Linked DNA regions of Styela clava. The protein of the gene in region 1 interacts with the protein of each later gene in a biochemical or structural test. Links are inferred from orthologs where the notes say so. Each region holds a gene or a part of one and is shown in the gene's direction. Other genes may lie near its edges. The genes, in order: polycomb protein eed-like and nuclear inhibitor of protein phosphatase 1-like.

Region 1 (9,194 bases):
TGTTGTTGTTATATGTATTGTGACTTAAGTTAATCAATTGTGTTTTATTCATTTAAGAAAACCGCTGTTCTTTGCCAAGTGTATAAAAAAGAAGCTGATTTATGCATGTTTCTTGTTTGTGGATAAAGGGGCTGAGAGTGGCGCGTTCGATACGTTTTCATTGTGTCCCGTCTATATAGATTCCGGTCTATCCAAAGACCCGAAGTCGGCACTTACGATGTGCAAAGACCGCCCGCATGTTGATTAAAATAAGCATCCGTGCTTATATGTTTTACTCCTTTTAAAGGCTTTTTCTATCAGGTGGATGGGCGCGTATTCATGTACTTTTTTAACCTTATTTTAGGCTATGCTCAACCTCCTTGTTTTTTCTGCACCTTGTTGCCCTGTCTGAATTTTCTATGTTTTTTCATGTTTTAATCAGAGGAGAAAAAATAAATGATTGATTGATTATCTTAGCCAGAGTCTGACAACGCGCAATAGTTATCAATTGCATGCTGACTTTTTCCGTCGGTTCTTGTTTTGCGGTAAATATCTCGCGGTTTGCGGAATATTAAACGGTAAATATATTGTTCATCCAATAACGAGGATAAGGAAAGCGGTATATCAGTTTATTGTCGCGCATGCGTGGAGGCAGAGACTCCGTCCAGAGACTTTCCCGTACATAATAAAATTGAAAAGCAGCTAATTCTATTGAAAATAATTTGTAAACCTTGTTTCATTAGGCTCTTCTATTCAAATCGTCTTTTCCTGTAGTTTGTTTCGTTTTCTACTGTGATCTGTTTAAATGGCATATCTAAAGAGGGTCAAACTCTCAAATATTTTTTGTTTAACATCTCGCTTATGTTCCTTGCTTCGAGTTTCTATTTTGTTTTGTTTCTCCCACGTAAACAGTGGTTAGCGCAGTGGCGGCGCGGGATTGAACTTACGGGGCAAGCTACTGCGGGACCAAGTCACCCCCATCTACGGGGACAGGATGAGCGCTGTAAGTTCTCCAATCATCATTTTATGAGTATAAAACCCATTCCATCGGTAACAACCAATCGGCAAAAGCGACAATTTTTAACGATAAGAAAGTGTCTTTAAAACCAGTCCAAGTCAAGGGATTAATAAATATAGACATAGTTTATTTTGAAACTTCTTTCAAAAGGAAAGGCAATATTTACCCAGATAAATACAATGACATATTAACAGAAACTTCGGGAAAGCAGACAAAACCTAAAATAAGGTTTAAAACGTTACTATGAAGAAAGGAAAGATAATGCAAAGATAAGGACATGCGTCGCTCACTCACAGATATATATGCTGCTAGACTTCTACTGCTTGAACATATATGCAACACGCTGCGGTTTCTTGGAAGCAAAATGCTCAATAACGCGCTGATTAAAGTCATGCATCCCAGAAATAACGTCTCTGTGAATGGATAAAACAGCCAAGGAATTTAATCTATCTTGCTTCATTGTGTTTCTGAGATACGGTTAATACGCTTCAGCGTGCTGAATGTTCGCTCTGCGTCGGCGGAAGAAATAGGCGTCGTCAAAATGATGTCCAGAAATTTTGCAGACGCCGCAAAGGTAGTTACTAGAGTGTTATCTATGAGGAACCCATAGAGCGCGCAAGTTGATGTGATGTTCAAAAAAGTTTGATTGGTGTATATACATCGCAATTCATTTTCCAATTTACCCACGTTTATCATGGGGTAAAATTTGGAGACAGTAGCCAACAAATGGATGGGAAATTGACGTGCAAATTTTGAAAAATTTTTGGGGTTCATCAAAGAGAACGCGGCAAGGTGTTCAGTGCGCAGACGATCGCCTATTTGATTCACCAGAATGTCACAGCATTCCTTTGCAGACAAAATCAAACGCTGCGTTGTTTGCCCGCGGCGTAAAGAAGCACTCCATGTGTCGTCGTTTTATTGTTTCCCGGATACGAGATCCAGCATCGCAGAAGTCTGAAATACACGACTGCACAGACGCTCCATCCATTAGCCTTGACTGCAATGCGCCGTATAATACATCCACGTGATAGAATATTGTGGAGAAAAAAGCGAGAAAAAATGAAAACTCACCATCTTCTAGCAGACGCTTTAGACCTGCCGCCTACCTCACAGAGCGTTCGTCCCAAACCGGAGAGCTCTGAATGCCATTGAAACACTCAATGAGCTCAGACCTAATTTCGGACACGCCCTGCACCACGCGTGATTGGAAGTTCCAACGTGTTGGTGCACAAGCTGGGAGACGGCGGCTACATATCTGGCGAAGGAGGTCAGAGCGCTTCGGCGAAACGGAAAAAAATCCCGAAACATTTGCAAAAAATATACGGACGAGAGGGGTATCAAGACACATATTTTCAGTAACAAGGTTTAATTGGTGTGCATAACAATGTAAAAAATGCGCATGAGGAAAATCTATTTTTATATAAACTTGAACACCATGTTTCGACCCACTCATGACTGCCGCGCCGTCATAAGTTTGAGCTATCAATTTTGACTTCGCGTTGTAAGGCTGTAACACTTCTTTCAGTACAGCCGATATCCCGCAAGCCGTGCGATCAACGATTGGTACAAAGCTGTGAAATCTCTCGGTAGGTTTACCATCTTTCACAAACCGAAAAATCACAGCCAGTTGGGAAACGCACGTGATGTCAGTTGTCTCGTCAGACTGAATCGAAAGGAACTGGCAATTCTCAATTTCCAGAGCCAAATGTTGTAAATAAACTTTATACATTGAGTCGAGCAAATCATTTTGGATATCCTTAGATGTCCCTTTCGAAACAGTTGCGGCATCAAGATGATCTCTCAATACTGTATCTAGGGATGCGGTGTATTCCACCATATCCAAAAATACCCCTCTATTAGAAGAGCCAGCCCGTTCATCGTGCCCACGGAGGGACAGCTCGTGACAACCAATGAACTTCAAAACATCTATCAATCGACCGAGAACATGGCGGTTTTTCTCGACGTTTTGGTTGTGCCGACGAATAGAAACCGCGCGTCCTTCATCCAACTGTGCTGCAATATTAACATTTCCGAATGTTCAGTATTTTACTGCATTGTTCAGATGCTCCATAGAAGATTGATGATCCCTGGCACGCTCGGAAAGATGTTTAAGATCTCTAAAACCAAATTTACACCAACGTGAGTCACGGGCGGTAGCAAAAAGTAGGCAATAAAAACAAAAAAGTGCATTTTTGTCCTCGCTGTAACACAACCATTCGTGTTTTTTATACCAAGTTTCTGCGCAGAATGTACGCCGACGCTTTCCTCCGTCATGGGATTGTTCCAGTGAACAATTTTTTGGTTGATAAGGCCCAGAACGTTGAACCTCTAGTTTTTGTTCCAGCGGCAGCTGCGAAAACGGAGTGCGAAGTAGTGCATCAACCTTATTCATTATGAGGTCTAAGGCTAAGAAATGCGAAGCCGGAAAGAAGTGAGGAGCTCAAAAGGAATGTGGAAAATCGAAAGCAAATGGACTAAAGGTCTCTAACTGATTCAAATAGCGAAACAAGCGACAAAAACGAAGACGAGGAAACTATCAACTCTTCAAGCAACCAACGAACGAGAAGGAATGCGTGAATATGTCAACACGTTGTTGTAAGAAACGTCGGCATTGTGTCGTCATAATTTCGGGGCTAGCCCCGATCGGCCCCGATGATTTAGTAAAAGAAACAGAAAACAAACGAGACAAACGCGGCGAGTGGAAGATAAAAGAGAGAATACGATATACAATGAGCAACCGGGGCAAAATCGGCGTCGCCCCGTCGACGTTCGGCGAAGGCTTTGCGAGCGAAAAATGAACCATGTCGGGAGAATATGGCTAGTGTAGACAGTCTGTGCAACCGATATTGAGGTATTTTTCGAATATTTTTTATCATACCGAAAAAACAACCGGGGCATTGCCCCGATTGGCCCTATTGACGCGCCGCCACTGGGTTAGCGCTTAGTGTTTTTCACTAACCGGCCAACTCTATGATAATGAAGATTCAAACATCTAATCGCAAGTCAAGATTCTTTTTAACTTGCAAGAGTGGCCGTGATGGGTAGGGTCAAATAAACAACCAAGGTGACTAGAAAAATCTCAGGAAATCGTTTTGGCAGGGGAAAAATTGCACAACACGCAAATACATTTGACGGAAATATTAGGAGGCATATGCCACAGACCGAACCAAACTTGCCACTTTTGGAATTGAACCTGTTGGGAATATAGCACATTGACATTCATTGCCATCTGTGCTCTTTGCTTGATATTCATGTTATGATTGAAGGAAAAATCTCAAAAATAAGGACGTATGCAAACCTTGACTATATTTATACTTTTGTAGCGTACCGGCAGTCTATGTAATAATTATCCAAGTTCAGAATATCTTCCATTATGATCTGACGTCAAGTTTCCTCTCAATATTCACTTCAATTTATACTATTTTGTTCTATTTAATAATTATCAACCTCAATACAACCAAATACTCCAACAAAACGGAAAGCATACAATAAAAACAACAAACACCAGGCAGCACAATGCAAGAAAAACCATATACACAATAAAAACACTAAAGGACCCTAAAATTGAAGACAACTTCCAATAGAAGCAAATTGACCCCTAGAATCCGGTACACTAAACTAGCTACTACAATTTGCAAAACATGCTGAAAATAAATTATGACAGGTATTTTGAAAGACCTTAAACAATTCTATATGTGCACAACATTTAAACAGTACTGATTGTTAATAATGTCTTGGTTATATGTTAAGTTCTACACCCAAGCTATTATAGAATAAGGGTTCAACTGAATACGCTTACACTTCTTTATTACACCAGCATAACACACAACATAAGATGCTTACAGCAACAGAACATACTAGCGAGTGGCGCAACTGCGACACGTTAGCACTATACAGATAGCATATTCAATTATTAGGGACGTTACTCGACAAGGCATTATTAGCCATCATCAACACTGATGATAGCTAATTTCATGGCACCTGAAAATTACAACATTAAAATTACAACAATTTATTTAATTACAACAATTAAATAAAAGGTATTAATTAACAGTAGGCTACATAATGATATTAATATTCAGCTGATGCGACTAATTTTTTCGAAACACCAGATGGCAAAAGATAATGGTAATTTTTTTACCTAAATCACTACATACACAGATACAGGAAGGGACCAAATTATATAGATAAGTTACTACTCTAAAAATACATTCTTGGGTAATCACTGTTTTTTTTGCCATATATAATAAAAATGCGCATTGTATAAACAGAATGAAGCCAAGTACTGCACTGTAACTGGTACCGTAAAAAATGAAATATGAAATTTTTTGTATGTAATCTATATTTGTGTGTCCCTGAATTTGATATAGAAAAAAATACTAATTTTTAGATGAAACATTCGAAATCATTCCTGAAATTTAAAATTTATCACATGGAATATAACCAGATTAGACTCTTGCGATACACTACTACTGGCAGTGCACGGATTCTTTCTGCGCAAAGCCGGTTCGCGCGTTTTATAAAACGTTAACTTGGCAGAGCGTTTGTGTGCTCGTAATGTTACGGTACTGCTGACTGAAACACCGATGAAAATCAAAATGGAAAAAGTTAAAAGGAAGAGCGAAATGGAAGTAGATGATGATAACACAGAAGACGCATCAGTTGCAAGTAACGACATGGACAATAACTCTGATGATAATGATTCCGAATTAAGTTCCGGCGTTAGTCACGGAAGCGGTGCCGGTACCACAAAAAGAAGATTCAAAGGCCGAGGGAAATTTCATAAAAAGCAAATTCTAAAATCTCTTTTCAAGTGTGTCAATTCGTTGAAGGTCGGTATTTTGTTAAGTCAATAACATCACCATTACAGCTTTCCTCTCCCCCGGGATCAATATGTAAATCCTATCCTATCCTATCCATTCCCAATTACTGAATTAGGGTGCAGTGTCTGAATGTGTGCCTCTCTAATACAGCAATAAAAAAAATACAAAGTGAGCTAATTGAAAAAATTCGATAACTGAAATTTGTATTTCTATAACCGTACCTGGCCATAATGGGGTCTCATGTAGTTTCGTACCTAACATAGTCTACTTCTAGCAGTCTAGTGCTGTAGTGGGCATAGCATAACAATTTTTTCATGTGTCAATCCTAACCCTCACCTGACTACACCATCCAAAAATTAAGTCACTATGGCGTCACAGTGACGTAATAGAGCCCTTCAAACTATACGAACTGTCATCCAAGGTGCGCATACGAGCACCCGAAATCGAGCAAGCTATCTCTCTCGTTTTCTCGTCGCAACGATCCCAATATGAGAGGCGCCGGCGCCGATGCCATTTCGGGCGATCTCACGTATGTTTCAGTATTTGGCAAGCTCTATGACGTGATTGTTATGTCGTAGTGACATAATTTTTGGATGGCATAGGCTAGTCAGATGGGGGTTAGGATTGACATATCAAAAAATTGTTATGCTACGCCCTCTAGAAGCCAGACTGGATTCCATGGCAGATGCACGCCCGAGGGCGCTAGCGCTCCACAAAAATGCACGCGAGCGAATTCAATTTTGCACGCCGAAAATTTGCAATTGCTCACCAATGTAAATCGGTTTAAATAGTTTTTAAATCACTAATCTAGTAATATAAAGATGCCAAAAAATTATAACTTTACAATTGTCGACTAATACTTGCTTGCAAGATTTGGCCTGATCGAAAAATGCGAAGCAAAAATCACCATATCGTGTTGAATGATAGGAATCCCGAAATGATGTTTTGGGGGTCAAAGGTCAAACGTCCATTTTTGCTATGATCCAACTTATTTTTACGCGGATGTATTGAGAGGTATCTTAGGTCGAAATCAGTTTAGCGGGCGCAGTTGTTTTGCACGCCGTGAGCTATAATTGCACGCCAGAAATTCTTATTTGCACGCGGGAATTTCTGATTGCACGCCCGATTTCTCGTTCGAAAAGGCCATGAAATCCAGACTGGTCTAGAAGTACGTTAGGTACTAAACTATACGAGATCCCATAATGTCCCTAGGTGCTGAGTACAGGAGTATGATTGGTAGGACTGCAGTTCATATGATACAGTATTACTGTCTGACTGTTGCACTGTTTATATATCTGTATATATTAATATTTGTCGCAATTTTTCGAATTAAACCATGATGGTGCATCGTGCTAAATGTTGAGAATACAATCGCCATCGCACCTCTGATTATTCTGCGTGGGTTTGCAGGTTCAAATCTTATGGGGAATAAGTATGTGCGAGAGGATTGCTGGACTCCTCACTGCCGTATAGTCGTTCACTAAACTGCTGGCTGATCGGTTACGGCTTCCTCCACCATCAAGTCCATGCATCTGAAATAAATAAACTGGCTAATCCCAATCGACTTACTTCTCCCCTGGGATAAATATGTAAATCCCATTCTTTTGTAAGTGTATCAAATAATTATAGTGATTGTATTACACCATTTTTTAAATCAGGAGGACCATGGAAAACCCTTGTTTGGCGTTAGTTTCAATCAATTCATGGGTGAAAATGAACCCCAAATGTTTGCTACTGTTGGAAGCAATCGTGCAACTATTTACGAATGTTGCGAAAACGGATACATAAAACTCCTACAAGCCTATGAAGATCCCGACCATGATGAAACATTTTATACCTGTGCTTGGAGTCTTGATACAACAACTGGTCACCCCATTCTTTCATTTGCTGGGTCAAGAGGAGTGATAAGAGTATTCAACATTATCACAAAGCAGTGTGCGAAGCATTACCATGGTCACGGTAATGCAGTGAATGAATTGAAATTTCATCCAACAAAGCTAAATTTGCTGTTGAGTGCTTCAAAAGACCATTCTTTGCGTATGTGGAATATAAAAACTGACACGTTGGTTTGCGTTTTTGGAGGGGTGGAAGGTCACAGAGATGAGGTTTTGAGTTGCGATTTTGATATCACTGGAACTAAAATTGTGTCATGTGGGATGGATCATTCATTGAAAATTTGGCGATTAGATCAATCAATCATAGAGCTCGCTATGGAAGCTTCGGAAAAATATGATGGCTCAAAATATAACAAACCTTTTCCAACCATTCATATCCATTATCCATATTTCACCACGAGGGACATTCACAGGAATTATGTTGATTGTGTTAAATGGTATGGTGACTTTTTACTTTCAAAATCATGTGAAAATCATCTTGTATGCTGGAAACCAGGGTTTGTCGAGTCTGATATAGACACCTTAAAGTTAATGGAAAAGACTAATGTTACTATTCTAAGTCGACTTCAATATCAACATTGCGAAATATGGTATATGCGATTTGCAATGGATATGCGACAGCGATTTCTTGCTCTTGGAAATCAATATGGGAAAACCTTTGTTTGGGATCTTGAGAAAATGGATACTTCTAAACCAAAGTGCTTGCCTCTGGTCAACGTTAGATGCACAAATTCAATTCGTCAAACTGCTTTCTCAAAAGAAGGAAACATTCTTATCTGTGTATGTGATGATGCTACAATTTGGAGATGGGATTTGCAGGGAAAATGAGCTATCAGCCACTGTATTTTGTTGTGCAGTTAAAGTTGCACTGGGTTGGTTATAGCCAGTCAAAAATGAAAAGTTGAATGCTTCAGTAAAATATTGCTTTATATTCTCTAAATTTGAATGTGTCTAAATTTGCACTATTGTTTCTCCACCAATCATCATGGACCATGTTTCGCTACCTGATATTGCTTGGTATAACCCAAAATATGCTGCTCAGCGAAGGGGTTGACTACCGGCATGCCTTACTCAATCATGAATACAAACCATCTACCAATTGTTTTGCATGTAACCTTTGCAGTATGTAAATTCATTGACAAAGCATTGGAAAAGTCACAGCTTTTTGATGTTTTAAAGTATCTTATTCCAGTGGGCAGAGGTATCTGACAAGTAAACTGCTGCAATTTGTTCCAGAGGTAAATCCACTCATTTTTTAAAGTATGTTAAAAGTTACATAACAAGGTTTCTTGCATACCTATATCCGTATATGTATAGTTCCGACATCACTGATATGCTGTTAATCATATCGAAACTTTTGCTATTCTGTGTAGGCCATATCTTCATTCTTGAATCAATGTTTGTTTTGCATTATCAACCAACCTCGTCACATTTTATATCGAAAAGCTGTGGGCTTATCTTTGCTTACATGACAAGCTG
Region 2 (8,667 bases), on another chromosome or scaffold:
ATAGAATCATAAATAAATCTCAATTTGGCTTTCAAAAGAAGCACTCTATCATTCATGCTATACTAGATATGATAACTTACTTTTATGACAAACTTGAGGAAAAAGAACATATCGGTGCAATATTCCTCGACCTTAAAAAGGCGTTCGATACTGTTGACCATCACATACTAGTTAGAAAGCTGAGCCATTATAGCATTCGCGGTCATGCATCAAAATTCTTCCAGAGCTATTTAAGCTCACGTCAGCAATATGTCAAAGTAGGGACAAATTGCTCCACATTCTCAACTGTGCAATGCGGAATTCCACAGGGCACAATAATCGGCCCATTAATGTTCGTATTATTCGTCAACGATCTTCCTCATGCCACCAAATTATTGGTCAAACTCTTTGCTGACGATACCGGATTATTCGGTAGTTCAGTTTCACCAAACAACTTGAAAATGCACATGAACTCTGAAATACAAAATATTGCAACCTGGATGACTATCAATAAACTAACTAAATATTGCAAAATCCAAATCCCTTTTCATTAACTCCAATAGAAATGACAGAAGTAGGTACTTGTTCCAAATTTCCATTAATTAATGGCATTTTACTTGATAATGTGGACTCCTACAAATACTTGGGCATACACATTGGTAATCGGTTAAAATGGGCAACACACATCAACTACATTGCTGGCAAGCTAGGTAGAAAAGCAGGTATATTATTTAAACTTGAAAAATTTCTCACCACATCGGCTTTGCGATTAGTTTATTTTTCGCTCTTTCAGTCATATCTTCAGTATGGTATTGTAGCATGGGGAAGCGCATCCTCCAACTTACTTCGCAGATTGGAGGTGTTGCAAAATAAATCGATCAGAGCTATAGGTGATGCACCCTTACGATCCAGACTTGACCACTTGTACCATAAATTTAAAGTAATGAAACTTTGCCACGTCCATGAATTCGAGGTATTGAAACTTATCAACCAGTACTTTGACAACAAACCTCCAAGAGCATTTGTAGGGTATTTCACCAAGCAAACTAGCGTTCATTCGTATTGCACAAGATCGGATCACAAGGTGCCTTCCATGTATCCAGATACACACATGTAGAACGCAGAAATCCATCAAATACATTGGTGTGAAGTTATGGAACAATATATCAGGTACCCTAAGATCACTCTCTTATCATGGTTTCAAAAGAGAACTAAAAATGAAGTACATTAGTGACTACCTTTCTTTGAATTGATAATTAACCACTACCGGTACCTGTACTGCTTTTCTTTGCAACAAACCCCCAAGCCCTATTTTTCTGACCAAACATTCGATTCTGTCTATCCACGCTCTGTTCTGCGGGAAAATCAGATGTGCGTGGAGTCTGACTTTCTGAGAATCAAATTTTTAATTGCTTGCTTACACCATGCCAGTGATCAGGACAATGGCTGATCCCGCTTGAGTAATTAATACAGTATATTATTTTTTATTTATTTTCCTTTCTATATATCTAATGAATTTGTACAGTGCATTAAGTTGCATCGTTGGTCGTGGATTTTAAGAAACATGCTCATAACTGGAATGTTTTGCTTTTGCAAACCATTCATGAAACATATTTGTTAATATTATGTTTTCCGAAAATGCTGCTTTTTTTTTCTTATAATATTTTTTGAAGTGTTTTGGTGTTTCATTAACTTTTTGTGCTCACTAACCTGAATCAGCGAGCTTTTAAGGTGTCGCTGCCTGAAGACCTTATGAGGTCCCTCGCGACTCCTGTCACACAACTTAAGTTAAGTTCATATTGTATTTGAAATGTTTTTTTCTTATGATACGTTTATTTTGTGCTGACGAATAAAATGATGATTGATTAATTGATATCAGTTTTATATTCTGTATCATTTGTCTTCGACTTATTTGGTGCTAAATATTTCATTTATATTTTAGTCAACCGTTTTGAATATTCTCAATAAAACGAGTCTGGCAAATCGACTTATCATTTCCGGGTCCCAAAAGTGACACTGAGTACTAAAATAGACGAAATACTGGCCAAAACCATATGCAACACGAAGAAACTTTGGCAGCATAAATGCCAAGATGGCGGCGATCAAATGATCCCGCGGCGAGACAACGCAAAACGAGAGAGAAGATCGTTCCATGTTTTTTCAGTTCAATGGTATCATATCATTGAAATGCGATGGTGAGAGCAACCGCCACACGGTGCGCAATTTTTTTAATCCTGGTGACATCGTCACACAAAACTTCAGGGTGGTAAAACGAATCCCATAAAACCCATGGAAATTTTAAAATAAAACGAAAGTAATAAGCTTCATGCACAACAACAATCTTTAACCACTTTCAATTGCCTAATTGATTCTAAGCGATTGGCCCACTAATAGGGTAGGATAGGATTTATATATTTATCCCGAGGGGGGGGGGGGGGAACCGATAGGACGGTTTACCAAAATGACGAACCACGGCCTCGGGTATGGGATTAGTTAACTTAGTCATTTGTTTTCGGTAGCATGGACTTGATGGTGGAGGAAGCCATAACCGACCAGCAGTTACGGAAACCACCCCACGGCGGCGAAGAGTCCAGCGATCCTCTCGCACGTAACCATCTCTGCTTGAGATTCGAACTTGCTAACCCACGCAGAGTAATCAGAGGTTCGGTGGCAAGCGTATTCCTAACGCTTAGCACGATGAGCCACACCGCCGCGCCGTGAAACCGTAGGGCAAAATTTATACAACAACAACATGAAAAAAAATCCATTTCGTGTCCAATAACAGTACTAACTGCTTAAATTCCTAAACTTTAATCAATCAATCAGCCAATCGTTTATTTGTCATTACAAAAACAAGTTCAAATAAAAACTGATGCAATGAATAAATAAATAATAGTACTAATTATGTTAGTTGTGTGACCGGAGTCGCGAGGGACGTATGGAGGTCTTCAAGCAGCGATACCCACAGCGCTGTTACAGGTTAGCCTAAAAAGTAACATGAATGAGGTATAAAATATATACATCCTAAGAATCCCGGGATTTGGACTGTTTTTTTCAATCCCGATCCCGCAATTATTTCCTAAATATCCCGAGAATTTAATTAAGGCTTTATTATCCACCTATAGATATTCTCACAGATGGTAGGTTATACTATTTTATATAATACTTATTTTGAAAAAAACAATCCACGCTCACAGTTTGAGTGGAAGTAGAATTATTGTGTGAAATTTTCCTCAAATTGTGCCAAGGAATTATTATTTGACTAGTAGAATTGTCATTATTGCCGACTTATTTAATTATAATTTGAACTCAAAATAGCATTCAGGATGCACACAATGACTTCGCAGTGTTTTAATTCACTATATACGAAAATAAAACAGCCACACAGTTGAAAAGTGAAGTCAAGAAGGTCAACTATCGTCTTCATAAATATCCGCATTCCGGCGTCAGAAATGATAATATTTTTAGCTTAAAATTGGGACAGTTAGTTTACAAACGGTGACAAGAAAGATCCAAACCGACCTAAAAGTTGAAAATCGGAATAAAATCTCGAATTCAACCCGATATTTGACAATTCGTTAAAATTATTAGATGAAAATATACTATTTTGACCACCCTTGCGATCTGTAATCACGCCAGTAAATAATAAAAGAAATAGTAATAAAACCAATATTAAAACGCGTGGTAGTCCAAACACTGATGCAATGAAACTTAATAAATCCTCCATGAATTTAGTAAATTGCACTACTTCACAAAAGCGTGGTGGAATTTACGATTATTCCATACCTCGAACACAAAAACGGTCATCTTTTTCAGATAGTTTCTGCGGTCTGAAAAGTTGAATAAGCGTTTCGACATAGTAAATGCTATGATCTTTGCCATCAAATTTATGTTCGGGCTTTCCAAAATCGGAAATTCCAAACGTGAAAAGATATGTCCAGCTGTAAAAATCGTTTATAACAACTTTAAACCTATTTAGTGTTTTTAGCGATAATAATTAATTGTTGTAATGAAATACAGTTTGTTTGCCACTTTCAATTCTCTCGCAACTGCCGACAATAGCTCTATTGAATGATTTTTGGTAATGGGAGAAAAATATTGAATTGTAACAAAAATGAATAAGGTTGTGAAAAAGTGAGAATACATGTGATAATGATAAGGGCGTAACATGGAACAGGGAAGGGCGAGCAAAACCGAAGCGCGTGATCGGCGGTGCGTCTGAAGACCACGTATTACCCGTGAGGCCGCGCTACTTTTAGAATAATGTGAGGTGCTCCGAAGACGCTCTCATTCATGTTTAAGAAAACAGTTCTAATATCGGTAACTGTTAACCATTTGTTCGCGTTCGACTATTGCACTCTTTATGGGTAGAAAATGTTCGTGTTTTGTGATAGGTGTGCCGCGAATATTTAAAGAGCTAAATAGTGTGCCACGATATAACAATGGTTGGGAACCACTGCCCTAGATGCCCTAATATTTCTGCGTCGATATTACATGAAAGAAATACATGATTTTATTGTCATGCAAGATGTTTCAATCTTTACTTTATACGGCTCAATCCCGGGATATATCGATACCGGGATTTCAAAAACTTGTTCCGAAATCCCAACCCTTGTCGCACCTGATGCAAATACAGTAGTTGCGACATTGAAATTGATTACTGCGATTTTTGAACCTTGGTTGTCCCCGTAATTTCCTTTTCCATTAAAAATGTGTACTTATTTATTTGCTCGTAATTTGTGTACGATTGATTTTTAATGCTTGACTTCGAATCTCGCAAATATAAATATGTACTGTATGATCGAAATGGTCAGCGTACTCGGTTACAGTTTTTTATCAGCAAGTCTATGTATCTAGAACGAGTAAATATTACCATGCGCAACATGGATTTGAACCCACAAAAAAGGCCGTCGATGGCAATATCGTAATTTTATCAGTTCTTTCTTTCTCCACCATAATCATGAAATATTTTCCTAATCCTAACAGTAATCTTATGAAACTCAAACAAAATGGAATTTTCATTTCCCAATATATATTGACTCCATCCACCTCTATATTGTCTGCAAGTTCGGTTGTGTGTGCATGTTGATAGATATTTTGGATAGCTTTCGATTAGATTCTTGGAAAATGTTGCACGTTTGAGAGAGTGGTTTAGTTATTGAGGCTTGGATATTGAAATGACGGCAATTAAACCTTCCGGGAAATTTGCTAATCCAGCGAAAGTGGATTTTGAAGTTCCTTCTTGGTGAGTTTCCTTGTTTTTTACTTACTGACAGTATGACTTAAGATATCATGTTTCATATAGGATTTTGATATTCAGCCTGTTAGCAGGTTGGGGAGGAATGGAAATGGCTTATTGCTATGGCGAACCTTGAACTGTTGTCCAGTTATCAGTTCATGTCCAATATGCAGATATGGGTATAGGCGCGGCGGCGTGGCTCAACGGGCTAAGCGTTAGGAATACATTCGCCACCGCACCTCTAACTACTCTGCGTGGGTTCGCAGGTTCGAATCCCATGCAGGGATGGTTATGTGCGAGAGGATTGCTGGACTCCTCGCCGTCGTTGGGTGGTTCACGTAACCGCTGGCCAGACTGGATTCCATGGCAGATGCACGCCAGAAGGCGCTAGCGCTCCACAAAAATGCACGCGAGCGAATTCATTTTTGTTCACCGAAAATTTGCAATTGCTCATTGATGTAAATCGGTTTAAATAGTTTGTACATCAATTATCTAGTAATATAAAGATGCCAAAAAATTATAACTTCACAATTGTCGACTAATACTAGATTGCAAGTTTGGCCTGATCGAAAAATGCGAAGCAAAAAACACCATATCGTGTTGAATGACAGGAATCCAGTGAGAAAGATCGCCCCCTCACCGACGCTGGCCAGTTATGGCTTTGATTCAGCGTATTTTTCAAACAATAATTTTACACGGATGTACTGAACAGTACCGGTAACCCAGTCTGGATTTCATGGCCTTTTTGAACGAGAAATCGGGCGTGCAATCAGAAATTCCCGCGTGCAAATAAGAATTCCTGGCGTGCAATTATAGCTCAGGACGTGCAAAACAACTGCGCTCGCGTGCAACTGACTTTGACATCAGATACCTCTCAATACATCCGCGTAAAATTACCGGTATCGGAAAAAAATACGTTGAATCAGAGAAAAAAATGGACGTTTGACCTTTGACCCCAAATATTATTTTCATACTTTGTCACTAATTTTGGGAGTGTTTGAGCAACTTTAGATACCGGTACTGTTCAGTACATTCGTGTAAAATTATTGTATGAAAAATACGCTGAATCAGAGCCGTACTTGGCCATTGGTGCGGAGGCGATCTTTTCGTCCATATCTATTCTCACGGGATTCCTATCATTCAACACGATATGGACCTTTCCCCCGAGCATCGACTTCCTTGTTTACTTCGTGACATTGGCCAATCAGCAAGATGCAAAAAAGGACGTAACAACGAGAGGAATTTTTCGCGGGTCAAAGGTCGGGGAAAGGTCCATGGTCTTTTTTGCTTCGCAATATTTCGATCAGACCAAATCTTGCAAGCTGGTATTTGTCGACAATTGTGGAGTTATAATATTTTGGCATCTTTATATTACTGGATTATTGATTTTAAAACCATTTAAACCGATTTACATTAGTGAGCAATTGCAAATTTTCGGCGTGCAAAATTGATTTCGCTCGCGTGCATTTTTGCGGAGCGCTAGCGCCCTCGGGCGTGCACCTGCCATGGAATCCAGTCTGGCCGGTAACCAAAGTCGCACAACCACTCTCAAAATTAGCAACAAACTGTAGAAATAATGTTTGGGGGTCAAAGGTCAAACGTCCATTTTTGCTATGATTCAACATATTTTTTATCCATTTTTATTCCGGTAATTTTACGCGGATGTATTGAGAGGTATCCTAGATCGAAGTCAGTTTCACGCGGGCGCAGTTGTTTTGCACGCCGTGAGCTATAATTGCACGCCAGAAATACTTATTTGCACGCGGGAATTTCTGATTGCACGCCCGATTTCTCGTTCAAAAAGGCCATGAAATCCAGACTGGACCGCTGGTCGGTTACGGCTTCCTCCACCACCAAGTCCATGCTTCCGAAAACAAACAATACAGTAAATCTAATCCCATACCCGACTTGGAATGGTAACCGGACGAGAGGCCGTGGTTCGCCATATGAATAAGCCGTCTTATCGGCTTTCCTCTCCTCCGGGATAAATATGTAAATCCTATCCTATCCTTCACCCGTTACCCACATTTGTTTCAGATGCATGGACTTGATGGGCATATGGTTGAGAAAGCTGTAACCAACCAGCGGTACAGTACCGGTACCATAACATATGTGCGGCTCCGAAGAGTCCATCAAATCCTGTTATAATTGTAACTTTCATAATTATGTTATAATCCGAACTTATGTAGTCCAGTCAGTCGTGTAATAATATTTAGCACAATGCGCTGACTGTCAAGCCAAATACAAAAATAAGCTTTCAACTAGCAGTACAGCAGTAGGAAGTATACTGTACTATCAAACTATAGATTGCTATAGTTATTCTATGTTATTATGTTCAGGGCAGGAAAAGCACCTACTGGAACACATCTGAATGTCATGAAAGGAGAGAAGTTGGTTGAGGTGTGTTTGCCTGAGATTTTATTTTCAACAACTTATTGCCGAGGCGCATCATTTGAAGTGTTGAACTCCACTGTGCAGGACTCATGTATTTTACTGATGGAGATAAAATTCAATAACTTATCATACAGTATACCACACTATTTAAATTCCAAGAATTTCCCTCCATTTTGCTCTATAAAACGAACACTCTATGTGTCTCACAAACGAGGGGTGTCTGGGACCATGTCAGATGCGTCATATCACACTATGCTCGTCTCAATAATAATCTAAGTTAATTGCGGCCATCATATGACCATTTTTTGCTAAAAACTCTCGAATGCTACGGTAAAAAAATTTTCCTTTGGTAAATCGGAGTAGTTTTTCCCAAGGAATTCAATGATGACGTTACTGTATTGCGTTTTTTTGTAGTATTTTGCGCAACTTCATTATACTGTATTCTTACCGATATTGAGGGACAACAATGTCCAGACGTCTCCCAAAGGAGGGGTGTCTGATCATCTGTAAAATGGGTTTCTCTGAAACGGGAGAATGTCACCCGATTTGTATAGTGTGCCGTACTGTTACGGCAAAATTATGAAACTTGTGGAAGATTGCAACAGCCAGTTTTTCAATGATTATATATATATATTTCTATTTTCCCTAATCTTCTTTTCTATATCAAATTTCCTATTTCGAAATTTTTGACCTATTTGGTAAAAAGTGCAATGTTCCTCATCTTGCCCAATTGATAAAATTTGAAACAGTTGTTTAAATTTTATTTTTATATTTGCAGAAACTCATCATTGACGAGAAAAAATGTTACGTTTTCGGGCGAAACTCTGACTCATGTGATTTCATCACTGAACATTCATCCTGTTCCAGAGTTCATGCTGTCCTTGTTTATCACAAACATCTGAAGAGAATGTTCATTATTGACTTAGGAAGCAGTAAGTTCATAGAAAATAGGAAGAATTTTTTTAGGTATTTTTTTTCTTTCGTTCTAAACCAGTGGTTCCCAAGGTTGATTGATCGGAGGCCGAAATTAGACGCGGAAAAATATTTGTGGGCTT

The links.
Region 2: the proteins of polycomb protein eed-like (region 1) and nuclear inhibitor of protein phosphatase 1-like form a complex in vitro, tested with the Homo sapiens proteins (2 studies listed by BioGRID). The link is inferred for Styela clava from reciprocal best matches to the Homo sapiens genes EED and PPP1R8.

The regions. Positions count from the first base shown.
Region 1 is NC_135261.1:18,999,157-19,008,350, reverse strand, and holds the start of polycomb protein eed-like, read left to right. Parts: upstream 1-5,499; 5' UTR 5,500-5,583; coding exon 5,584-5,829; intron 5,830-7,478; coding exon 7,479-8,543; 3' UTR 8,544-9,194. UniProt on the Homo sapiens protein: Polycomb group (PcG) protein. Component of the PRC2/EED-EZH2 complex, which methylates 'Lys-9' and 'Lys-27' of histone H3, leading to transcriptional repression of the affected target gene.
Region 2 is NC_135257.1:22,033,171-22,041,837, reverse strand, and holds the start of nuclear inhibitor of protein phosphatase 1-like, read left to right. Parts: upstream 1-4,993; 5' UTR 4,994-5,156; coding exon 5,157-5,224; intron 5,225-7,557; coding exon 7,558-7,618; intron 7,619-8,390; coding exon 8,391-8,544; intron 8,545-8,667. UniProt on the Homo sapiens protein: Inhibitor subunit of the major nuclear protein phosphatase-1 (PP-1). It has RNA-binding activity but does not cleave RNA and may target PP-1 to RNA-associated substrates. May also be involved in pre-mRNA splicing.